2 linked regions of the Styela clava genome follow. The protein of the gene in region 2 interacts with the protein of the main gene of each other region in a biochemical or structural test. Links are inferred from orthologs where the notes say so. Each region holds a gene or a part of one and is shown on either strand. Other genes may lie near its edges.

Region 1 (8,657 bases), on a different chromosome or scaffold from region 2:
CCATAACACCTTTCATAAATCTAAGGGTCTGTTTCCGCCTTCTCTCTCTGTCATCCTTCTCCGATACCTGATCCCCAGCAACATTTTTCATTACATATGTCGGTTTCAGAGCACCTTTATCTTTCACATAGTCTTTACCTAGTTCATAGGAATCCACAGTGTTATATTTAATCAGGTCATTGATTTGGGTCTCATAATTTGGATCTTTTGCATATTGAGATTCCAACACCCTCCATGGTATGGCGTTACTAAGAACCCCTTCTGTCCAAACTACAGAAGAAGAAGTCCAAGACATGCAAGGTACAACAGCGACTGGTTTAGGTGAAGTTGTGGCTGCTAATGAAGCCATATGTCCACCCATTGATATACCAGTAAGACCGAACGGCCCAAAACCTTCTTTTTCAAGCCATTTTAGCAGAACTTGAGTTTCTAAAATAAGGCATAGACCCATTAAAAATAGGTCTTTGACATGTAGCAAACCGGAACGAGATTGATCTTTTGGTTTTCGTAAACCATAGTACGGATTTTCCAACAATAAAGAAGAAATTCCATGCGACAATAACGGCTTAGCGATGAGTTCTCGTCTTCTAGAAAACCCATGGTCGCCCGTTCCAGCCATATGAATGCACAGCGGATTTAAGTCAAGTTGTTTTATTCTTCTTTTCAAAGAAGTAATACTATCTGGTTTGGATTTCCTTGGAGTTGCAGGTAACACCATTTGGAAGTGTGACGTCTTACACTCTTCTGGTAGCAGTTTGGGTAAAAGTTTACAGACTGGAGAAACGAAACTACCATCGACAGTCACGCACCCATTGCTTGAGACTGGATTTTCCAAGGTCACATTAGATTCAGATATGTGATCATTAACATAATCCAAACATGAATCCCTGTTGGAAATCACACCATGGACCTTCAATATTTCCTGCAGTTCTTCTGGTTTACCCCATCCTCTGGTATAGAATTTTGTTAAGATGAGCCTTCGGTAGAATAAATCCAACTTGCTTAAATTCATTTTGCCACTCCTCGGCCCTCACACTTTTAATCAAATACTTTATATTATGTCATTATTCTGCAAAAAATTTATTGTAAAAAGAAATTGCAGCAACACAACTTACAATTTTACACCCTACAAAAATCACTTGCACGAAAGACTTCATATGCAAAAAAGATTTTCCAATCAACACCAAGGTCATAAGCATAAAGCCTGTCCACAACAAAAAATGCAAGTTCAAATCTGAATTACAGGTAAAACACTTCCAAGAGCTCAAAATCCAGTCAATTTTAATTCCAGAATAAAAGCATGCATATTCAGTTGTAGCAGTTCACCAATAAATCATGAAACATTTTTAGCATAATCCAAAAGAGAGCATGTAGTTCTTGTAGCATTTCTTGCACAAACCATATTAAAAGAAGGATAAACATGGGCATCCTCTAGTTAGGATAAGTTTATCAGGTCCAGGGATTTCCAAGATGAATCAAAAACATTTAAAATTGGATACATTTAAATTAGTTAAGTATTGATTTGGGGATTATTTTCATCTATCATTTAAAACATTTGACATCCAATAGTCAGACAAAAATAGACTTCAGTTAACTTTTATTAAGAATAAATCCCAGTAATGTTTATTCCAACTATCCTGTATTAACAAATTTGAGTGAAGTCGTCGATGAACAAGACACAATTTAGACACATTCGAAATTTATATCCAAAATATTGTTTCAGAATAATTTATATAACTTTAGCTATCCTTGAATTTCAGCCTGTTACGTACTTGACTAGTGGGGGGTGGTTGGGCTAATATCATACTTGGAAGTGGGGGAGAGACATTTTTTCCCTAGTTTCACTAAGGCCAAAACTTGTTAGTGTAAAGTGATATGATTCACATTTTAGCAAAAAAGTATGAACTATCTTTCAACTGTTATTATACTAGCAAATTGAACAATAAACTGAGACATTCCAGCCTAGACTAATATTTTGAGGACTCTCTCATATAAAAGCAGTCACTCACTCAGCTACTCCAGCCGTAATTTACTGTAAAACAAGTCATAGACGGAAAACTGTGGGAACAGAGTTCTTTAGTCATTGAGGTGAAAGTGTCTCGATTTCACTAAGCTTATAGGAAGCTGACCTAAAAATGAAATCTAAATAATCATGACAGCTTTCAGTAAAAATGAACAGTGACAGTCGACAGCAATAAAAGTGTCAAACCCAATAATTAAAGTACTGAACCCAACGTGGAGCTAAAAGTTTTTTTGTCTTTACTCAAAATGTTTTTATCAACAATAACAAACTAAGTGCTCATGGCGTTACGGCTTTCATCCGCATTTGGCAGTATGGAGTACAAAAGGCTTATCAATGCCTTTATGTCAATGAATCATCTTTATTCTTCTACAGTAGGCAACCAAAATGCCATGTTAGAGCATGTTGACGCAATCATCATATATCTCGGATTAAATTGTACGCACTGAAGTGGGCCTGGATGTTTTCCATCTAAAACAGCCGTCTTGCTTCCGTCTTCAGTACTCCAAACATGGATTCGACCATCTTGTGATCCAGATAGAATATACTGTGCATCTGGGCTGAAACTGGCCTCTAAATATAAACCTTTAGTGTTAATATGACCCATAAAAGTTTGGAGTGGCTCGCCATGAAAAGCATCAATCAATCGTAATGTTGAACCATTGGTTGAAATTAGGATCATTTTTCCATCGGAGCTGAATTTTAATCTTGTCCAGTCACAGTCTTTATCAGGAGTCAGTCGAAACGTTGTAAATGGACCTTTATCAAATGATCTCAAATCATATAATTTAATCATTTCAGAATTTATTCCAGCTGCAAAAATCAAACCCTCTGGATCGAAAGAAGCGCATGGTCGGCCAGGGAGATGCATTAAACCCTGGCAATTTGGAGATCTCAAGTCCCATAAACGTATTGTCTTGTCCAATGATCCAGATAAGAATGTGTCATCCACAGGGGACATACTTAAGGTCACTACTCTTTTTGTGTGTCCAGTGAAATAACGAAGATACTTATTATCATGTAATGATTGATATCGAATTGCGTCATCAACTTTGTTTGAAGCATAAATTACAGTGTTTCCAGCGTGAGTGTAGTTTATGTGATCGACACCATATTTTTTACTGTACAATGTTCTCTTTGGTTTTCCTTCTGTACAGCAATCATAAATTACAATCGAATCGTCATCGCTAGCTGATATCAAATTTTCACCATTTGGTGCAAAATCGACGCTGTTTATTTTTTCATTATTTTCACGAAAAACTTTGGCAACTCGAAAACTTTTTACTACAGAATCCAGTAGCTTCATTATAATATTTTTATATTCCAACTGAAAGTTATCAACTAAAAATAAAATGATACAATAGTTCCATCATAACATGAACTAAATGGGGTATAGGAATACAGAATAACTAACCAGATGGCATGGCTGATGTAAACAATGAAAATTTACAAGTTTAAGTGTCTAATTACAAGTCTAATTTTACAAGATCACACCATATGAATTAAGATGGCATGAACTTCTTTATAATGCCTATACTAGTTATATAAAAGGAGGTAAATTTCACGGTCATATTTTAGAAAACATTATTTCGTTCGTTACCCTGAGTCCCTGGGAGAATGACAAATGTTATGTGTTCGTTCACACTCTAGTTTACTGCATGTCACAAGGTGTGTTTACATTTTATTTACTGCATTGCTAAGGGGTAATTACAACTCAGGGTAACAAGGGAATGAGGGTCAAATTTTATCATAATTGTTTAAAATGCAACAGAGAAAATATTAATCACTGATATTTGATTAGTGATTTTATGATTAAACTGGCAATGAACAGCTAGAGTGGAGTCTAATACCAATAAGTTTAGGATATAAATCTCTAAGTAATTAGAATTGACCATATAACCAACATTGCACTTTGATCACTATCCTACTAATTTTCAGAAGCAGAGAATATGCAAAATAATATAGACAAATATTCTGCTATACAAAGTTGATTTTGTGCTGAGAGTTGCCACATTTTACCAGACAATATGCCAATTTCGGGTGGATTCAAAAGAGAGAGAGAGTTTATTTCATTTTGTCAAACCAAGAAAACAATTTATGCACACATAAACAAATACCAAAAAAATAGTTTTCGGTATATGACTGGAGGGCAACAATCTGACCTTTGGGGGTCATCAGAGTCAGTTGCCACCCAATTATATTAAATAAGCAAAAAAACAACTGAAGATGAACAATAAATTTACAAACTGTAGGCCTATATCTCTTTGTGTTAGGAAAAATTATTTATGAAAAAATATGGCAACTCTCTATGACTAAAAAATCAGAATATTTTTTTTTAAATGTCTGAAATTTCAAGATTTTATCAGTTTATACTAAGGATGCCGTATTTTACCACTGAGAGTAAAATATTTCTAAATGTATTGGATAAAATGATCGACTTATATTATTGTTCCTTGCAATACAGCAATATGAAAATGCAAATGAAATGGAACTCAAATCGATATGAAATAGTAAAATTAATAGATAATCAAATTACTTGAAACGTTGCCTATAAATTGCCTGGTTTTAGGGAGACCCTATGAGTTTTTTTTAAATAAATCATCCAAATTGAGGTTTTGAGGAGGAGCAAAAAAAACACATTTTTAACATATCTAAGAATATTATAGTTTATAAGAGCATTTGTTAAAACTATTTAATGATAGCATTGAGCTATTGAGTTGTTCAATACAATTCATGTCAATCTTAAAATATTCTATGAAGACTGATTTTTTTCTTTTACTTCAAGATTGTGCTAAATTTGATTGGTGATCATTGATATGTGAGTTTGTGTATTTGAACCAAATGTTGGGACATCAGAGAACTGCGCCCTACTGTTAGAGAGTCAAATGTTAATCATACATATATATTTATGGTGGGATTTCCGGCATTACTAATTTATGTACGGTAGTTGAGAGGCTAATAACATTGTAAGTATAATTTTATTGAGACTCCATACTGCCATAACCAGCATCACAGACCTTAAATTAATAAAAACATGCAAAAAAAAAAACTGATTACAAAATCAGTAGAGCAAACAAAACCTTGAGCGAGGTTTAAAAGGTAGGCTACATAATTCAAATAAACAATCTGTTGCCTAAAAGTGGTCGGTGTTCACTCATCTAGTATTTACCACCAAAGTCAATGCACACAATCAACGTCATTTCAGCATGTCATGACTGCATGAGGTACAGTGTCAGAGTGACTCAACTCACCTGACTGATCCAGCCTGACTCAACCAAAAATGGAAGTGTGGGCTACAGGCTACAGCAACGATGGCATGAAAATATACTTTATATCGGTTCACCAGAAAACTTATGTAATATATGAATATTATGTTGAAACTGCCACAAGATTTCTCATTCCTACATTCGCTACCGCTGTAATTGAACATCCTTTGCACCAAAGTTACCCCAGCCCACACTCGCTCAGCCTGACGTCAAGGGGTTAACCAACTATTTTACCACTTTATAAACGTTAATACAAAAAAACTTGGTGGCTATGACAATATAGAGACCATATGTGATATACACAACGCAAATGCAATACCAAGCCCGGCCCAGTTACCCCTAGTATGGCCTGTCAAAAACGAGTGTGGGATAGCGTCTCGAGTGTGGGCTGGGGTATTTTTGGTTCCTTTGCGACCCTCACAGCCTTATGAATAATTCGAGTTCAAAACATGACACACTATAACTAACTCGCTCACGGAGTATTGAACATAAAAGTTTACCAAACACTACTGTACTCTACATTAAAATACATTATCCTAAAATATCTTCACCAGGAAGCAAAACCATAATGCATGCCAGCCATGCCGACGCAAACGCCTGCGAGACGCGACACGCACGTGATACTTATTAGCATATTATGCATTTTGAATTCATGATAAGTGGCGTGATGCTGTTTGTACGCCTACACACAGTGTTTGCATTCTAAAATAATTCAAAGATTGATATTTGACTAAATTCAACTGTTTCATTAATCCGTAACAGGATTTACCAATTTATGAGTTATTTTTTTACTTTGCGTGCGTTCATGAATAACTATACGCACTCGTGATATTTCAATGAGTGCGGGGGAAATACATCATTTGTTCATCGTGAAGCCAGAGTTCTGATATTAGTGTTCTATAGCAAAATTTACTTGTATATCCAGAAATTTAAATAAAAATATGACGTGTCTTTTTCAGATGATTGACACGCGTGCAACATGATTGGTGATTTGCCAAACCTATGAGCATATATACATATACATATGCTCATTGGCCAAACGTATCGATGCCGCATATACGGTACTGGTGCCATTATAGACGATGCCCTGTTGTTCGAACGATTTGCCGCAACAAGACATATGCATAATCTTGTTCGTTTTATTCCATGACAACCACACCACAAATGCGAAGGAATGTAGGGTTTTCCCATCCGCATACATTATTATGCATTGTAAATTTATGGCGGTGCTCAATCCAGTTTATTTAGAGGTGCACCGATATTTCGCCGAAGATTTTCTGTGCAATTACAGCCCCCCGCTATACCTTCTTCATTTAGATCTAACATAGATGATATTAAATATTCTTATTGAAAAAATCAAGATCCATCAAATTACTGCAATTCATATTTTGACAGGAATGGTCCCAGCAGAAGATTATCACAAGAAAATACTATTCTTGTCAATTCCCATCTTTTAGCGATACAATCAGGCGTTTACCATTAAAACAATTGCGACGACCAATATTTCCGAGTGAAAAAGCTGTGCGAAGCTGCAGCTTTATTTCCTTTCAATCTCACAACCTTTTACTAGCTGAGGCACCAACATCAACTTGTGAGCATCTCACACTATTAGGCAAAATTAATATATTTAAATCAATCAAACAATATAAACAAATATTAAACGGTGAAACTCTTGACTAGATCTATTGCATTTTCACTGAATTCCAAATAGAAAACTATACCATATTCACACTCGAAAAATATCGGAAATATATAACCCATAGAGGCGGGAACTAAGGTTGGGTACTGAAAGTAAATAGGTATGGATTATCTCCACTAACACGCCACATTTTAATCTTTTGAGAATGCAAAATGAAAATAAATTATTCGATGTAACAGTAATTACAGTATATCAGCTGAGGTTAATCCTGGTCTTGATATGAAACTCTTGGGTCTATGAGATAATACAGTTATCGATATCCAACTTGATATATAAATTAAATGTGTTGGTCTCCATACAATAAATTTGGGAAACTTTATTACAGCTTCGACAATTCCCCCTGATTGTCACCCACATTGTATTCCACCCAGTCTTGTGCGATTGGGGCAGAAAGCATTTCATCACTTAATTTGAATGATGAACAGAGATGAAGAGCATCAGGTGCAAGATCTCGACATGCTTCAGCTGCAACTTCATTTACCTGAGTATAGAAAGTTAATTTTACCGTATATTATAACCATTTAATTCTGCAATCCCTAATGTTTTAAGTATGTCAAACACATGAGTGATAGGATAGGAAATACATATTATCTCAGAGGATATGAAAACTGATAAAATTGCTTAATCATATGCTGAAGCACGGACTCCCTATTACCAGACCATGTCTGGTATGGGATTAGTTAGCCATTTATTTGTTTGAGATACATGAACTTGATGGTGGAGGAAGCCGTAACCGATCACAGGTTATATGAACCACCCTATGGCGGTGAGGAGTCCAGAAACCACCGCAGGATGATCAGAGGTGCAATGTGAAGCATATTCCTAATGTTTAGCACGACACGCCACACCGCCAAGCCTGCTGTCACCATGTCAGGTATGGTATAATTACGCAATTCAATTGTTTCCATGCATAGTTATGATAAGTAAAAAAAAGTCATCTTTTTAATTTGTTACTCGAACCTTAAAGATTTTGCAGGTCCGAATGTAGTCAGAGTTGTTTATCTGAAATAGCCCACTTTTAAAAGATGGTTGAAAGTACGATATAAGATACTTTACCTGCTTTGCTATTGAAGGCGTGATGACCTCATTTGCCGCAAACCATCCAAGATCACGTTGAATAGTATCAATCAAAAATAAGTGATATAATTTTGATAAGATGGTTTTGAGTGATGAATGAGTATCTGGAGAATCAATTGTAAACTTCACCCTTTCGCTAATCAACCTTTCTCCATAAGATCTTGCAGCATTCTGGATGAAAAACAGATTCAATAAGTAATCATTTGAGTAAAATATTCAAAAGCAGAGCGCAACTTAATCATATGGCGAACCACCGCCTCTTGTCCGGTTACCACTCGTATGGGATTAGTTAGCCAGATATTTTGTTTCCAGATGCATGAGCTTGATGTTGGAGGAAGGCGCAACCGACCAGCGGCTACATGAACCACCCTACGACGGTGAGGATAGGAAAATAGTCATTCAATTATCTTTTACAGTCTAAAAAATACAGTAAACAAACTTAGTACCTGCACAAGATCGCTCTCTTGTAACATCCATGTATCGAAGATTTTGTCCATTCCTCCTTTCATTAATTTCACTCCAAGTTCAGAGAACTGAGAAGTCTCCCTTAGTTGGAGTAAATAATGAAGATAAGCCGGGCTCTTCAAATCTGAAA
Region 2 (8,522 bases):
TCCAAAATAACATGTATTCAGACACACACTGTAACATGCAAATTTCATATTAGATGCAATATTTTTTTTTTCAAAAAATAAATAAATTTCAAGGATAACCAAGCAGTCAAATAACTACCTACGTCCAAGGGTCTTCCTGTGCAGAGCCTCATTCGGAACAAACCATGAAAAGTAATTAAATCCGAGTAAAAACTTTTTCCTCGCACCAAACATAAACAAACCTGGGATCATCTTGCGATGATTTTCTCCTTTCTTTTTTACCGTGATGATGATGATGTTGTTCTTTATATTTAATTGACATAGTAATGCCATCCTGCGTATGTCGAATTACATCGGGTATTGTTTCTGCCATCATCTCACCTCTCACTATCCGTTGGAAGAGCTTGTTCAGAATTTCACCTGTGTATGAGATACAAGAAAATAGTAAAACTAACCTGAATTGGGTGACAAAAATAATTTGTTTGGAATAGGAATTAGGAATACGGAAGGAGTTGGAGTCGTATTATGAAACCACCAAATTCAACCATATGAGCCAAAAACAAATTTGAGATCTTCAAAATCAAGTTAGAATTTCAAGACTGTAATGAGGGTAATTTTTTGACAAAAACTAAATATTTAATATACCTAATATCTAAATATCTAATATTTAAATCAACTAAGAATACTCATAAACCATACAGTAGGATTGGATAATTTTTATAGTCATTTGGTTTTCTCGTACTTAGGTCAAAATTTTCTTAAACCTGTTTTCATCCAGACGTTGGAAGTCGTTGGTGGAAATTTCTTCCACACTTTACAGCTCTAGTTAAATTTGCAAGTATTCAATCTTGCCTAAAAATTTGTAAAAGTGCAGCAAAAACATTTTATCCTAAATACATTGAAGATTATTCAATCCAAACTTTATTTTGAAAGTAATTAAATAACATATAGCCTACTACATATAGACATTCTCTTATTCGTATAAGATAAACAACAAAGATTAAGTACGAGCGCCTTAAGTGAAACAGACAACTACATATGAGCAGCGCCAGGGTTAGAATGATTAGTGAATAGGATTCACTCAACCAACCTTTACAGTCTATTTGTGCATGAATCACATTTCCCATGACTGAAGTCTGGTGGAGTTTCTTCACACATTCAGATGCGGACTTGATCGATGAAAACACAACCTGTGAAAGTGAACAACGAGATTAAACAGGATGCTCATAAACCCCTTTACAGTTTTGCTTTTGTTATTAAGTCAGTTCTCAATATATCTTATTAACCATGTTTTAATCAGGTATTTTTACTTCATTCAATACATCTGTGAGGGCCAAAACAATACGGCCCATGATATCCATAAATTCCCTATGCAATTTTAAAAAATTTCTAAGACTTCATGGACACCCTATATTTTTTTCAGGAAATATAATTTAAATTAAATACGATGTTCATTCATGTAGTTTGAATATTGATATAACTATGTTAGCATCTTTAGGTTGGAAAGAAATATTAGTTTAAGACTGGTCATCCATTAATCAGTTAGGTAGACTGTACCAAACCAGATGGACTATACACGAGATTAAGTGACAACATTGTTAGATGCGAAAGCAGTACAGTTACCATATCAAGTTTAAGCCTATTAAGCATTTTTCATTGTTACAGAATAATAGTCTATTTAAATAACAGTTCAGTTACACCATCATAGTTGAACATATCTTGCAAAGATTGCAAGTGTATAAAATCAGTAACACACCTTAGATAAACCCATGTGCTTTTGTGTCTTTGGGTGATGGTAAACCCTCACGCGTTCCAGTTTTCCAAACTTGATGCACATCTTTTCCATGAATTGTTTTGTGATGTTATCATTAAGACGAGAAAAAGTGACCTCACGAGGAGGAACAGCGCCAATGTACCACTCGTCAACCTGCCAAAATGTTGTAAATCGTTATAAATAGTTTTACATTGTTTTATCATAAGCCATAAGCAATTCAAATGTGGACAACAAATGGCTACAATTATTATTACAATCAGTAATCACCTTATATCGTGGAACAGGTAACTCACATCGCTCTCTTCTTGACCATAATCGATTCATCCTGGGTCGTGGATCTCGTAACACAACAACACCCTGTCCATGGTTCTAAGTGAAAAAAAAAATAAAATTTAAAAAAAAGATCTTTCAATAAAGATGGTTTCACACCTACAAAACACCCCTTTTTAGGAAGAATTAAAATCCCATTAACTTATCTAGTTACCGATATTATTAAAATATGTGGGTAAAATGCACAGTACATGAAAAAACAACCTTCAAACCACTCCATAAACTAGTGGTTTTAGTAACAAAAACAGTCTCCCATATTCAATAATGATGTTGAAACTATCAATCCTTACAAGTATATATAACAGTACAGATAGATAGAAATTAACAAAATATAGGATTGTTAGGAATTACGAAAAATCACTTATTTTTATCACTTATTATTAGGCCCAATTTTTTTATTTTTCAAATTCACGATTACATCTTCATATAATATTTAATATGATTCTTTTAACATTTAAAAAAAAAATTACTGCCATTGTGGTGGATAAATTGGACATTAGACTTCATATATTTGAGTATTGCAGTCATGTTAATAAGAATATCTAATACGCAAATTATATTCGTAGGCTGTAGCGCATAATTGCAGTACTCACAGATAATCACATTTAAATATGCAATACACAAGATAATGACTAGAAATTATTCAAAGAGGGTCATTATCCAGCTGCTAATAAGCATCATTATTATCAACAAATCCATACATGTTCATCTGCGATAGAAACACATGTCATGCATATGATATAGTCCATAAATATTTATATATATATACTTCCAGCTGCCAGCATAACATTGGATTGCAAGTTATGCAAACAGAATTTTTGTTTGTTTATGTACAATCAAGATATAACTTCATCTAAGAATCAACGATATCACTATCAACAGCAGAAGCATTTTATTATTATTAATAGATTTTGCTCAAATCAGAGTGGTAATTTTGCATAGGTGAAGAAGATTTTCATCAGCAAGCGTACTTGCAAGGCAGCCACTGAAATGACACGAGCTACTGAAACCATACATAGATTTAGTTTTGGTGCAGTACAGCACAGTTCTCTGATTCTAAGAATAGCATGGTGTGCATGTGGCGCATGTGCCGGCATGCCAGGTACCGTCATTTCAGTGACAAATATGGTGTTTGTATTATTGAACCAAATGTCAGGAATCAGGGAACTGTGCCCTGCTGTAGTATACATGCTACCCATCTGAAAAAATCCAAATACTGAAAATAGACCAAGCCAGAATAAATTCAGTTCAATATAAATAAATAAAATCAGTAATAAATATAGTGTCATGAATAAAATTACTGATTGAAACACTCACTTCTGTATTATAAGCAACTCCCTCATATCTAAAGAGTTTTTCTTCACCTCTTCTTATTTGAGGGTCGACCAATAATTTATAATCTTTTTTCTTAATTTGTTCAGCACCTACTCCTTGGATATGGTTTTCTTTCTTCACATCAGACATAATATTAATCCTTTATCAAAGGACTTGATAGACTGGTGAATCCATTTTTCTACACTATAGATAATTATTGACTTTAACAAAAGAAATATAAAAAATCAGTGTTGAATTGTTAACAAGCAACGTGCAAGTCTGCACTATAAATCTTTATACTCTCCATAGCTCTGTAGCCCCACATTAGAAGACATCAATTATAACAGTACTAACAGTTGGAGTTACGTGAAACTAACTACCTTTCCTTGCTCTATGCCTTTGCGCAGGTGGACCCAGATGCGTATAACGCTATAGCAAGAGTGAAAATGACTATTCTATTCAATTCAAGAGTCTTGCTGCACACTAACACAAATGTATTTCTGTAAGGTTTCGTCTGACCGAGGTCAGACTTCTTCTTTATGTGCATGCAATTGCGTTTCTTTTCACAGTTGTAAAATGCTTGTCTGAAGAAGTTTAACCTCGTACATTTGTGTTAGTGTGCAGCAAGACTCTTGAATTGAGTAGAATAGTCATTTTCACTCTAAAAATAATTAAAACAGGGACTGCAAACCCCTGTTTTACGAGATAGTCTGGACCTCCATACTGGCAAAAATCTGCAAATCAGCCCTGTCAACAAATTAATAGCGCAATTTAAAAACGCCACTATGGATTCCTTGGAAAATAAAAAAAATTGATTTACCAAAGAAAAAGATTTTTTTTCGTAGCATTCACGAAGTTTTAGTAAAAAAATGCAATTTTGGTCACATGACGGCCAACGCACGTCACAATTATTTCAGATTACCATTGAGACAAGCATGACGCATCTGCTGTCGTGTCATATGCCCTTGTTTCAGAGACAAAATAAGTGTTTGTTGCATTGAACTCAATGCCGGCACATCCTTGAATCCTGGAATCAGACAACTGTGCCCTACTGTAGCTAGCTCTTGATATTTTAGTTGTCGACCGCGTCTGAGTTAATGCGTGTGACCTTGCTTCGAACAAGTTTCCTTAGAGAAAAATTAGTGTTGTTAACACTAAAGATTTAAATTCAGAACTAAAGAATCAAAACAAACAAAACAATCACACTGGTGAGAAAGTGCGTTTGGTACAATATACTGATATGAGCAAATGGATCAGATACTTTGGCTGTTTGGTAAGGTTAATTAAACTATTTTCAACAAAAGTTGATGTGTAACTGACCAAAATTTCGTCCTGATGGTATAATAAATACAGGTATATCAGAAATACAGAAATAATAAATATGTAAATCATATCCTATAAATTAATTAGTAACTACAGAGCTAGAAGAACTGAAGAATAGATGAATTTGTAACCACAAAACTAATCTACATTATTCAGTGGCACCAGTCTATTTTCTGGTCCATTGCAATATCAAAGAGTCACAGTGTCATACCTTGTCTTTGTACAACTCGATGAAGCGCAGCCTAGAATTTTGAGACAAAAAGCCGCCTACATTTTACCGCTGCAACGGCGGTTTTGCCACAAACTTATAGCCTGGGCCTGTCTCAGAGCCAATCTACTCATGCCTCTTTGACTCACACTAGGAACTGGAGGATATTACTTACCTTACCTTGGCCATTTTTATCTTCAGAACAAGTGGTACAGCCATCAACAAAGCCATAGTTTTCACCGAGCCGCCATTAGCTCACTGCCACCATCTTGTGACGTGAACGAGAATGAAATTTAGTAGGATAGGAATAAAATTAAAAAATTCTATTATATCTGATTGAGATAGGCCGATAGATAGACCGATAGATCCAAAAAGAGGGAACCTAACGAAAATTAATTATGTGGCAAATAACGACCTTTCATCACGATACCACTACTATAAACTATCAGCCCAGATTGTTCTCCATGTTTGAAAAATGAAAATGACGATGTTGTTATTTTTTCAAACAACTTGTAGGGTTGTAAAAATGGTAGCTACTGCAATTTTATTTTCGCTTGGAGGTGAAATAAATACGTTTAATTACGGCTTAGCGGCATACGTCAAATGTGCTATGCGGAAATATCGTAACCAAGATTTCTAAAATGTTTGTTTGCCTTCGCAGTGCCTGACTAAAAAGCTTGGTTGTGATTGTGTACTGTGATCTATGTCCGGTACATTCAAACTGTATTGATGTGTGATTTTTTTGGACACTGAATACTTTTGGACACTTGTTGTCAGATGGTGTTGGAATTTCATCGCCTCTTATGCTGATTGTGAAATTCAAACATACTAATTGCCATATACAGTATATTCAGTCACATAATATCACGAATGGTAGAACATTCGGAGGCAAAATCGCGTTGCCATATACAGTATATTCAGTCACATAATATCACGAATGGTAGAACATTCGGAGGCAAAATCGCGTTGATGCTTTTATCATATTTCTACATATTTGGCTTAATATAGACAAAAACAAAGAAATGATAGATGTGGAATAAAATTGATCGATTGATGTATTATTATGGTATTATATATTTGTATTGAAAATCGTACATACAATGGAAGTTTTGGTTGCTCATTTGTTGATTTTCTCCACTACGAAGTAAACCTAACCCGGATAAAGAAGAAAGTCGTCCGTGTCTTGTTTACGCCACGTCTATATTCGGTAACATATATTTCTAATTTATAGTTCGCTGAGAAGGGTGAAAGCGCCACCGAAATTTGCAGTTGTGTATATAGATAAAAAGCTATAACAACACGGAATCAGAAGTTGTCATTACCAATAGTTATTGATCATCGCGGCACTGCAGTATTACCGGTATGGTAGGAAATCATGTCATAAACTTGGATTCAAAGTCATTAAGATTGCATTCTCCGCGAGATGCAGGAGGAATAGACAGAATCGTGAAAAAACAAAAAGGATCAAATTGGAGCAAGTTAGTTAACGAACTTTTGTTTTTTCAATAAATTTTCGGAGATTTCAGATTAACTGCTGATTGACAGCAATTCCATAATTATATTTTTCTGTTCTTGTATTAGTGGTTATCAATTTTTCATTGTTTACTTGCTACAGCAGTACCGTACAGTGCCATGTTATGCTTGCCTTGGAATCTGAATAAAACTTATACTTGTATTATTTGATGAGCAAATTAAGAGGTCATTTATCCTTTCAAAGTGATTTCTAATATATTTGAACAATTGGGTATTTGGCATGTTGTTGTAGCATTTCATGGTCGTCTAGCTGTAAATATAAAATATCTTCGTTCATTTTGCCTGTGATATCTCTGTATCTAGTGATATCCAGCTTGTTCTTTCTTAACAGATCAGAAGAGAAAACATGGATTGCGACATTATTTATTGGCACAACTATCCTATTTTCATCTCGCGTTGCTATGCCAGTGTGTGCTCCTGCAATGGCGAAAGAGTTCGGTTGGAACAAAGAGCATCTCGGTACTGTGATGGGATGCTTCTTTTGGGGTTATGCAATGACCCAAATATTTGGTGGATACATGGCTGATCGGTGAGTCACTGGAATGTCTATATCTGCGTATTTTCTTATTCAGGCTTCATCAGGAGACTTCATGTTACACATAAAATTACTTTGTGATTAGCGTATTTATATTTGTTATCTTCAGTATAATTGAAATTTATGTTCTCTGCTTATATGTTGTAATTTAATTTTGGTGAGATGTATGTCCAATTGTACTAACTGACAGTCATAGCTATTTATGTTTAATATTCGATTGTGTGATTTTCTTTCAATTGTGTGCAGTAACGCACTTCCTAAACTCGTATCATACCTTCTTAAAATACAGCATGTAAATATGAAATCAATTCTCTTACCTAATGAATACTATATTTCAGTATAGGTGGTGATCGAATGCTATGTATTGCTGCTCTTACATGGGGTACGGTGACATTTATAACTCCATATATTGCCTATTTATATGATGATCATACAGTTACGTTGCTGTTACTTGGATTGTTTCGAGTTATACTTGGATTATTCCAAGGTATGATAAAGAAAATATATGGCTTTTATTTTGATTGTAATTTATTCAAAATACAGATTCAACAAATTTTATAATATGATCACTTTAAAAATTTTCTTAACTTTATAATATAGTCTTTTTTGAATATCAGCCAGGGACATAGTTTGGAAAACCACAAGAGTTCAAACTCATTTTAGTGCAGTTTGTTATCTTAATTAATGTAACTCTGGTTTATTGAAAAGGCTCAATCATAATTATGCTTCATTATAGAGTTGGTGTAAAGATAGGCTCCGAAGTATGTGTACCAATATGAAGGTAATTTTGTTCGCCTATTCTACATCAAGTTACGTGTAAAAGGACTGACACCTATGGGCAGGGGTATGTTCACTTGGCTAACACAGATAGTCCCCGAACTCATAACTAAAATGAGGTAAATCGAAATAAAATTATGCCCCAAATCTAACCTGGTACACATACTACAGGAGTATCGAAAATTATTTTTTTAATTTTTGTATATCTTGAGCTTCATCTATATTTTCCCTGTTTACTGTTTTGCAGGTATGCATTATCCGTCAATGACAAGTTTAGTCAGCCGCAACGTTTGTGAGAAGGATAGATCATTTGCAATGGGTGTGACCTCCACTGGATCAAATTTTGGGTAGTTAATTGCTAGTATATTTGTTTTTTGAGCCAGTTCTGTAACTGTATTAAATACACTTGACCTAATTCCAAGTCGGATATCAAATATTTTTGACTATCAATTAGCGTCTGACCTGAAAAATATTTCCTCATTAAGGAAATGTTGTGTTACACACCCATTGACGAGATATTACATCACTGTGCTCATTTTACATTATAACTATAAATGTATATTGTTGTTCTTCACTTTTGGAACATGTACTGTCAAAAAAAACTTTCAGCTGTCTTACTCGTTTGACTGTGAGCTTCCATTTGTGTTATAGGCCTATATACTTTATAATTTGTGTTGCTCTTGAGTCTTGACACTCACTCAATGGTCAAGTAACTTCTCTCATATACATTTGCTTTTGAGTGAGTGCAG

The links. The genes of interacting proteins can lie anywhere in the genome.
Region 1: the proteins of uncharacterized protein LOC120333780 (region 2) and WD repeat-containing protein 82-like form a complex in vitro, tested with the Homo sapiens proteins (2 studies listed by BioGRID). The link is inferred for Styela clava from reciprocal best matches to the Homo sapiens genes SETD1A and WDR82.

The regions. Positions count from the first base shown.
Region 1 is NC_135254.1:14,481,968-14,490,624, forward strand, and holds WD repeat-containing protein 82-like, read right to left. Parts: upstream 3,386-8,657; 5' UTR 3,327-3,385; coding exon 2,382-3,326; 3' UTR 1,065-2,381; downstream 1-1,064. Other genes in the region: protein ABHD18-like, read right to left, coding at 1-1,012; uncharacterized protein LOC120344988, read right to left, coding at 7,305-7,466, 8,042-8,233, 8,509-8,651. UniProt on the Homo sapiens protein: Regulatory component of the SET1/COMPASS complex implicated in the tethering of this complex to transcriptional start sites of active genes.
Region 2 is NC_135264.1:11,332,429-11,340,950, reverse strand, and holds the start of uncharacterized protein LOC120333780, read right to left. Parts: upstream 3,639-8,522; 5' UTR 3,548-3,638; coding exon 3,401-3,547; intron 2,123-3,400; coding exon 2,021-2,122; intron 1,907-2,020; coding exon 1,736-1,906; intron 1,170-1,735; coding exon 1,070-1,169; intron 400-1,069; coding exon 222-399; intron 1-221. Other genes in the region: voltage-gated purine nucleotide uniporter SLC17A9-like, read left to right, coding at 6,291-6,406, 6,793-6,990, 7,335-7,483, 8,021-8,120. UniProt on the Homo sapiens protein: Histone methyltransferase that catalyzes methyl group transfer from S-adenosyl-L-methionine to the epsilon-amino group of 'Lys-4' of histone H3 (H3K4) via a non-processive mechanism.